2 linked regions of the Lonchura striata genome follow. The protein of the gene in region 1 interacts with the protein of each later gene in a pairwise test. Links are inferred from orthologs where the notes say so. Each region holds a gene or a part of one and is shown in the gene's direction. Other genes may lie near its edges.

Region 1 (3,742 bases):
CCAGAGCACAATGCAGGGAGGGGGAATGAAGTCCAAGGAGGGGACATCCCCCCTCTGGTAGCGCTGGGAGTGCCTGGAAGCATTTGGCAGATCTGGAAATCATGAGCTGTCTGTGTCTCGGTAGCGTTTTGAGGGAGACAGAGCACCCCGCACCTGCTGGGAGGACTGGGAATCCCCCCTGCTGGGAGCTGGCCATACTGGAAGGGTGGTTGAGTGGGACTGGAGGGGGCTGGGAGGCAGGAGAACAGGAAACAGTCAGGGAATTGGGACGTGAGCTCAACTGGTGCTCAGAATTTGGGGAGCTACAAACTGGCACAGCTGGCACTGAGGAGAGCTGGGAAATGGGGAATACCAGTGCTGAGAGAACTGGGCAAAAGCAGTGCAGGGAAGTGGGTAGGTGGGTGGTGGCATTCTTTAGTGCCTCAGTGCTCTTTGTGTGTGATGCCTCAGGATTCAGGGGAACCCAGACCAGGGTGTTTCAGGACTGCATTTGGGTCCTTGGATCCCAGAGTTTCAGGTACCTCGGGGTCCTGTGCAGCCTGTGGCTCCTGCATTCAGGGTGTGCCAGGACCCCCCATGCCCTGCCCTGTCCTATGGGACAGCAATGTCCTGGAAGTGCTCCGCCCAAGGGTCCTGGGGGTGCCTGGCTGCTCCTCCTCCCTGCAGCCCCCTCCTTTTCCCTGTCACTCCCAGTCTGCGATGCAGCCTTTGTCGAGGGAATCGCCCCAGAAAAGCCTGCAAAGGGGTTTCCCCGGACTGTGTCCCCAGAGACGCCCTCCCAAGGCCCCTCTACCCAGAGATATTTTCCCAGCCTTTCCTAAGGAAGGGCTGGGACTGATGCGACTTGTCTCCACCCAGCTTTTGGATAACTCCACCCGCCGCCGCCTCTCAGCTCCTCCTCCCAGTGAACAGCCCAGCTGGGATATAAGCAAGTCACTCAGACGCCGGGAGCTGCCGCGACAGCTGGGCGGGTGGCGTGGGACATCGCGCCGTGACCTGAGCCGTGCCCCTCGCCTCGACGCCGGACCCCATGGCGACGCCTTCGCAGAAGAGGAGCACCCGCAGCGGGGCTTCGGGGACCCCCTTGTCCCCCACACGCATCACCCGGCTGCAGGAGAAGGAGGACCTGCAGGAGCTCAATGACCGCTTGGCCGTGTACATCGACAAGGTGCGCTCGCTGGAGCTGGAGAACGCCGGGCTGCGGCTCCGCATCACCGAGTCCGAGGAGGTGGTGAGCCGCGAGGTCTCGGGCATCAAGGCTGCCTACGAGTCGGAGCTGGCGGATGCCCGCAAGACCTTGGATTCGGTGGCCAAGGAGAGAGCTCGGCTGCAGCTGGAGCTCAGTAAAGTGCGGGAGGAGCACAAGGAGCTGAAAGCCCGGTGAGTGCCCTGGGGATGGCGGGGACTGCGGCGGGACGGGTGCTGTCGTCATGCTTGGCAGGGAGCCGGGAGGGAGGAAGGAGCGACCTGGAGGAGCCAGGGAGAGAGAGGAAAAATCCGTGGCCTGGCCGGGGCTGGAGTGTCTGTGGTAGGGACCAAAAGAGGAGAGAAGCTCTCTCGTCATTCCTGCTCTCCTTCCAAGCGCCATCTTTGGCCGGGATGCCCTTGGAGCGGGGATTTGGGAGCGGAGCTGGGCACGCCTGGGGCAGGGGCTGAGCAGACATGCCCTGGGCCCCCGGCAGGGTCGGTGCTATGCGGGCCGGGAGCGCCGGGCTGGCGGCCCCTCTGCCTTCGTCATGCTGGAGCTATTCCTAAACACGCTCCGGCACAGCCCGGGAAGCCGTGCCAGCCAGCTGGCTCTGTCCTGCCTACGGATTTCGCCTGCTCGTCCTATTTTCCTTTGCTGTCTTTGGCACCGGTTAAAGAACCTGCTCCAGGTTTTGTTTGCTTTAACCCTCCCTGTGCCAAGCTGCTCCCACTCTGTGGGGTCCCTGGCTTTGGGGGAAGAAGTGTGCGGGTAGCACTCGTGTCCCCCTCCCACCAGCTGTCACTGGGTGATGTGCTCCCATTGAGGCACGAATTCCTCCAGCCGCTGCCCATCGGGCTCGTTTCTTTCCCTCCCTGCCTTCGTGGACCCTTCCCTGCTGCCTCTGGGTTCCTCTGCCCTCCTCAGGGCTGTCACCGGTTACCAGCCCAGGTCCCCTGAGGACACGGGGCTCCCTGGCCGGTGGCACTGCTGGCCAAGCAGGGGCTGGCCCTGGGCTTCCCCTGGGCTCTGCCAGCCCGTGCAGCGTCGGGACGTGTCCCTGCGGCGCTCAGTTCCCGAAGGCTGCTCCAAGGAAGGAGCGAGCCGATCCCTTTCCGTCATCAGCTTTGGCTCGCAGCCGTGTTCGGGCTGGGCAGCGGCGGGAACAGCCCCCTCTTGTTCCGTTTGATCTCTTGCCTCTTATTCTGGACTCCTCGTTTTGAGCCTGTACCAAATGAGGCTAAAATTAACTTCCTTAGCAGATGCCATAAATATTCTACCTGGGAGGGAGGGACTGTGCTGCCTGTTAGAGCCGTATCCGAAAGCCGTGTGGGGTTATATTTAGCTTTCTATTTCCCGTGCGCTGCGGCAGTTTCGTTCTCCGATAAGGCGGTTTGCTGCTCGCCAGATCCCCGCTCCCGGATCCCGGGGATCGGGATGCTGGTGAGAGGAGGAGCTGAGCTGTCTAAAGGCTTTTTTTCTACCTTGTGCAAACCCAGAACTATCTTGGCCACGATCTTTCGAGGGCTGGAAAAAATGCGCGGCCCGCAGCCGTGGCAGGAGGGGAGCTGGCTGCGCTGTGGAGCCAGCCGTGGGGAAAACGGATGTGGAATTTTTCCCTGCGACCGGCCGCGCTCCGGGAGCTGCTGCGCTTGTTCCCGGGCGCTGACAAATGCCCTGAAAGAGTGCTGGGACTCGCGGGGGTTCCCGGAGAGCAGCTTGTGCCCGAGAGAAGGGTTTTGGAGAGCAGTAGGTGCTCGGGGGGACAGGGGTGTTTCCGTGTTGAGTCATCTGTGAGTCACGGGCGCTGCGATGGAAGAGCGGAGATGCGGGGGAAGCCGCTGCTGTTCATTCCTGCCTCTGGTTTGTCTCCTCTTCCTAGGGCGCGGCATGAGGGCTGCTCCCCAACCCCTAAACCCTTGCAAGGAGGCTGCAGCTCATCTTGTGTCCCCGGGGACCTGCTCGTTGTGCCAGGGCTGCTCAGAGAGCAGCACAGTCGGCTGCTGAGCTGCGATGCTGCTCCTTGGGCTCACTTTGACTGGGGTGTCCGAGTCTTTAGGGCATGAGGGAATGGGGCAGCCACGAGCCCAACCCTGCGGAGGGGTCAGAGGTGCTGGCGGGACCAGGAGGGCCCCGTTGTGACACTGCTCTGCTCCCTGCCATCCCCTTGGGCAGGGATGTGCCCGCGCTGCCGGCTCTCCCCGCCCACCCTGAGCCCTTGGGCCAGCCCTGGGGCCGCTTCACTGTCCTTGACACGGTGAGACTTTGGCTAATGAGTAACCGCAGCCCTCTGCGCCTCTCGCTGTGCCCGTCGGCCCCGAGAAGCGCCGGGTATCTCCCGCAGGGCAGGCGCCCGGGGCCGCGTTATCAGCGCCCACAGCATCGCCGCTGCCCGGTGCAGGGGTTGTCTCGGCAGCACAGAGGGAGGGTGGGGGGCCGGGGTGCCAGGGCATGATGTGACACGGCCCCGGGCGCTGGGTGCTCTGTCTGGGGTGGGGAAAGAGCTGCTGGCTGCAGGGGGACAAGCTGTGCAAACAGGAGACCAGTCTAACCAGT
Region 2 (3,742 bases), on another chromosome or scaffold:
GGGAACAAATTTGATTTGGACTGCTCCCAGCTCAGGATGGCACAAGAGTAATGGAGGGACAGAGGAGACCTGTAGTCCTGGAGGAGAAGCAGCAGGGAACAGGCAATAGGCAGACTCTCAGTCAAGGCTCACAAAACTGGCCATCCTCAGTGGAGCCAGGAAGTTCCTGGCAGTGTGGCTTGAGCCGTACACTGGATCCCAAGGGAAGGGCTGCCCCACTGGAGCATGCCCAGCTCCTACCACAGAGCTCAGTGCAGTGTGGTGCTGGGCATCTCTTTGAATTCCAGCCCCCGGCTCGCTCACCCCTCGCTGATGGCTCAGCTGAGACAGCTCAGCTCCTCAAGTCCTGGGGGAACGGGCCAGGAGCACACACACAGCAAAGGAACACAGGTGTCCACATCCATAAAATATTTATGTAGTGATCAATTTGTGCGCGGTCTCCTCCCACTGGATAATGGGGTGAGGGGCGACGCCAGCGCTTTCTGCACAATTCACCTGAGGTCGGGGTAAGAGGGAATGACCGAAAGTGGGCTGAAATAAGGGACATGAAACAAGACCCGAGGCTGCTTCGTGAACAAGGAAGGAGGAGGCCAGTTGCAAGCCAAGCATGATATCTGAGAGGCTGCCCGCACACAGCCTCCTCTGCCCGCTGGCTCGCCATTGTCCGGCGGCAGCTCCCCGCGGGCGGGCTGCCGGCACGGCAGGGACAGGGCTGTCTGGGGGGCTCGAGAGAGAGGATAACGAGAGGGTTTGGGGTGCAGAGGAGAAGTTATGCCCTCTTTTAGGGGGGCAGCTCCGGGCAAGCACTAAAGTCTATGCCAAAAAAAAAGGAATAAAATATTAAAAAGGAGGTAGAAGCACACCGTGCTGCGGCTGGGCTAGTTACGGAAATCAGTAGCAGGCGGGGCTTCAGCTAGCGGTGCCGGAGAGGGACTTCCCTCCGGGGAATCCTGCTGGACCGGGCCGCGTCCCTTCGCCCCGGGGCACCCCGAAACCCTCCGGGGAGGCCGGGCCGCCCCTCGGCGGGGCAGGGACGGGGCCCGGCAGGGGAAAGGGAGGTTCTGCGGCGCTCCCTCTCCTGCTCGCTCCGCCCGGGACCGGCGGCGGGGACGGGCGGCAGCGGGGGCGGCTCCGGGCGGCCGCCGCCGCATCCCCGCCGCAGCGGAAGCCGCGCCCCCGCCGCCGGGGCCGGCCGGGCGCATCCCCCCGCCCGGCGCTCCCCGCCCCGTCCCGCCGCCGCCATGAACCCGCTCTTCGGCCCCAACCTCTTCCTCCTGCCGCAGGAGCAGCAGGGGCTGGCGGGCCCCGAGCTGCCGCCGCCGGCCGCCGCCGAGCCCCTGGGCGGGGAGCCGCCCGCCGGCCCCTTCCCCGCGCCGCCCGCCGCCATGGCCCTCCGCAACGACCTGGGCTCCAACATCAGCGTCCTCAAGACGCTGAACCTGCGGTTCCGCTGCTTCCTGGCCAAGGTCCACGAGCTGGAGCGGCGCAACCGGCAGCTGGAGAAGCAGCTGCAGCAGGCGCTGGAGGAGGGGGCGGGCGGCCGCGGCCGCGGGCCCCCGCGCCGGGACCAGGCGGTGCAGACCGGCTTCGTGGGTCCCATCCGCACGCTGGGGCTCGGGCTGGGGCCGGGGCTGGGGCTGGGCTCGGCCCGGGCGCTGGGGTCGCCCGGCTCCCGCCCCGGCGGTCCCGGCCAGCCGTCCGCCTTCTCCGCCGGCTCCCGCTTCATGCCCGGCACCATCTGGTCCTTCTCGCAAGCCCGGCGGCTCGGCCCGGGGCCCGAGACCACCCTGGTGCAGGGACCGGGCGTCTCCTGGGTCCACCCCGACGGGGTGGGAGTGCAGATCGACACCATCACCCCCGAGATCCGAGCCCTCTACAACGTGCTGGCCAAGGTGAAGAGGGAGCGCGACGAGTACAAGCGCAGGTGAGGAGGGGCGGCGGGAGCGAGGGGCACCGGCGGCATTCCCCGGGACCGAAACTATCGCCTGCAGGGCTCTGTCCGGTGCGCGATGTGAGGGGCAAGCAGGGAGGGAAGGCGACGGTCCTGGCCGGACTTCTCGGGAGCACAGGCAGCACGAGGAAAAATGTGGACTCCTGAAAGCATTTGTTTGTGCCTGGGTCTCCTCCCTTGCCGCCTGGTGTGCGAACCCCCTCGGGATGTTCGTTGAGCCTTGTTCCATCTTACCAACCTGGCATGAGGGACTAGAAATGCTTTTCCAGGCAGGGAAGGAATAACCCAGGAGCTGTGTTTTAAAACCAAGGGGATCTGGAAGCACTCAAGAAGGAGGAGCAGCCTGAAAGTAGCTGAGGAGGGTGGACATGCAGTAGTGAGTGGGTTTGGATAGGAGAAAGCTGCTGGGAAGGAAGGAGTTCTCTGAACGTGTCAGAAGGTGTCGAGAAGCCCCTCAGCAGGTTGGCTGGCCTCTCCTAGGCCCTTTCCCTCTGCAGTGCTCTCCAGCTGGCCCCTCAGCAGCAGAGAGCCGAGGCAGGACACCCCACTCCTTGGGGGCTTTCCTCCCGACCCAAAATAGCTGTGGCTTGGCACGTGCCTTGGAGAAGGGCGAAGCAGAATGCAAAGCTAATCTCTTGGCCGGTTCTTCTTTCCCGTGCAGGGTGGCCGCCGCTCTTGCCTCTTGCCAGCGGTGCTTTTGTGTCCGGCCAGTTTCCGAGGCTGCCCCCGGATCCGCACGTAGGATGAGATCAGGCTGGGCTGGCGTCGGAGGGTCAGAGCATGGGGCTGGGCAAGAGTGTCACTGGGGACTGACACCACCCCAGCCAGTGCTTTGGGGTTTTTTCAGAAGTCCCGTTATGACGCTTTGGACGCAGTTAGAAAGTTTGTGATTCCACTCCCAACTCCCCACAGGGGCTGTGCCACCCACCAGTTCTGCACGGCCACAATGCCAATATCAAGGCTGGGGTCCAAGGTGACACCTTGTGCTTTTGGCTTTATAAGGCTTAGGCTGGGCAAACTTGCCTGTCAGATGCTCTGGAGGCACTGAGCAAGGCACATGGAAAGGAAGAGTTGGCATTTCTTCTTTCCCACCAACTGCTGCATGTACCTAAGGCCTTTTATGATTAAGCCAGTGGTCAGGGTCCTTCTCCAGAGAGGAGCAGCACTCCTTGCATTGCATTTTCAGATCAGAGAGTGGGAAGCTGGATCCTGTTTCTTGGCCAGGAAAGCTTGACAATCAAAGTGGGTCAGCCAGAGAGGACCAAGTTAGTTTGTTGGTGCTGCTGAAACTTTGGGAGAATGGAGAGCTTTTCAGGGTTGTCCTGCTCTGGCAAGTGAGCTTCAGGGAAGGCTGCAGAGGGGTTGACAGAGGGACTGCTGAGGGTGAGATGGAGGGGCACCACAAGCTGCTATGAGCTGCTGTTATGGTGGGATCTATTTTTGGTGTGTGTTACCAGGAGCTGAGGGAAAGCAGACCCCACCCCCAGACCCTATCCAGCACTGGGAACTTTCTGACGGGTACAGCCAGGTCCCAAACAGGGGAATGGAACAGAAGGATTCAGTTTCCACACCCTTCTCCATGCTGGGGGCTGACACCAACATCCCTTGGGAGCTGAGAGTTCCCTTCCCAGTGGGCTGTGATCTGCCATGGGGACAGTGCAGCTGGTGTCATGCCTTTGCCACCTGCCTGGAGACAGATGGAAGAGGCCATATTAACACAGGACTTCCCAGTTCTCTTACTCATGGCTTGGGTGCTAGAGCTTGTGCTTTTATCAGGACAGCGTTGCTGCT

What was found.
Region 2: the proteins of LMNA (region 1) and IFFO1 interact in binary tests that used the Homo sapiens proteins (3 or more experiments, as listed by UniProt). The link is inferred for Lonchura striata from reciprocal best matches to the Homo sapiens genes LMNA and IFFO1.

Annotation. Positions count from the first base shown.
Region 1 is NC_134635.1:1,184,225-1,187,966, reverse strand, and holds the start of LMNA (lamin), read left to right. Parts: upstream 1-898; 5' UTR 899-1,030; coding exon 1,031-1,380; intron 1,381-3,742.
Region 2 is NC_134604.1:29,440,904-29,444,645, reverse strand, and holds the start of IFFO1 (non-homologous end joining factor IFFO1), read left to right. Parts: upstream 1-1,241; coding exon 1,242-1,924; intron 1,925-3,742. UniProt on the Homo sapiens protein: Nuclear matrix protein involved in the immobilization of broken DNA ends and the suppression of chromosome translocation during DNA double-strand breaks (DSBs).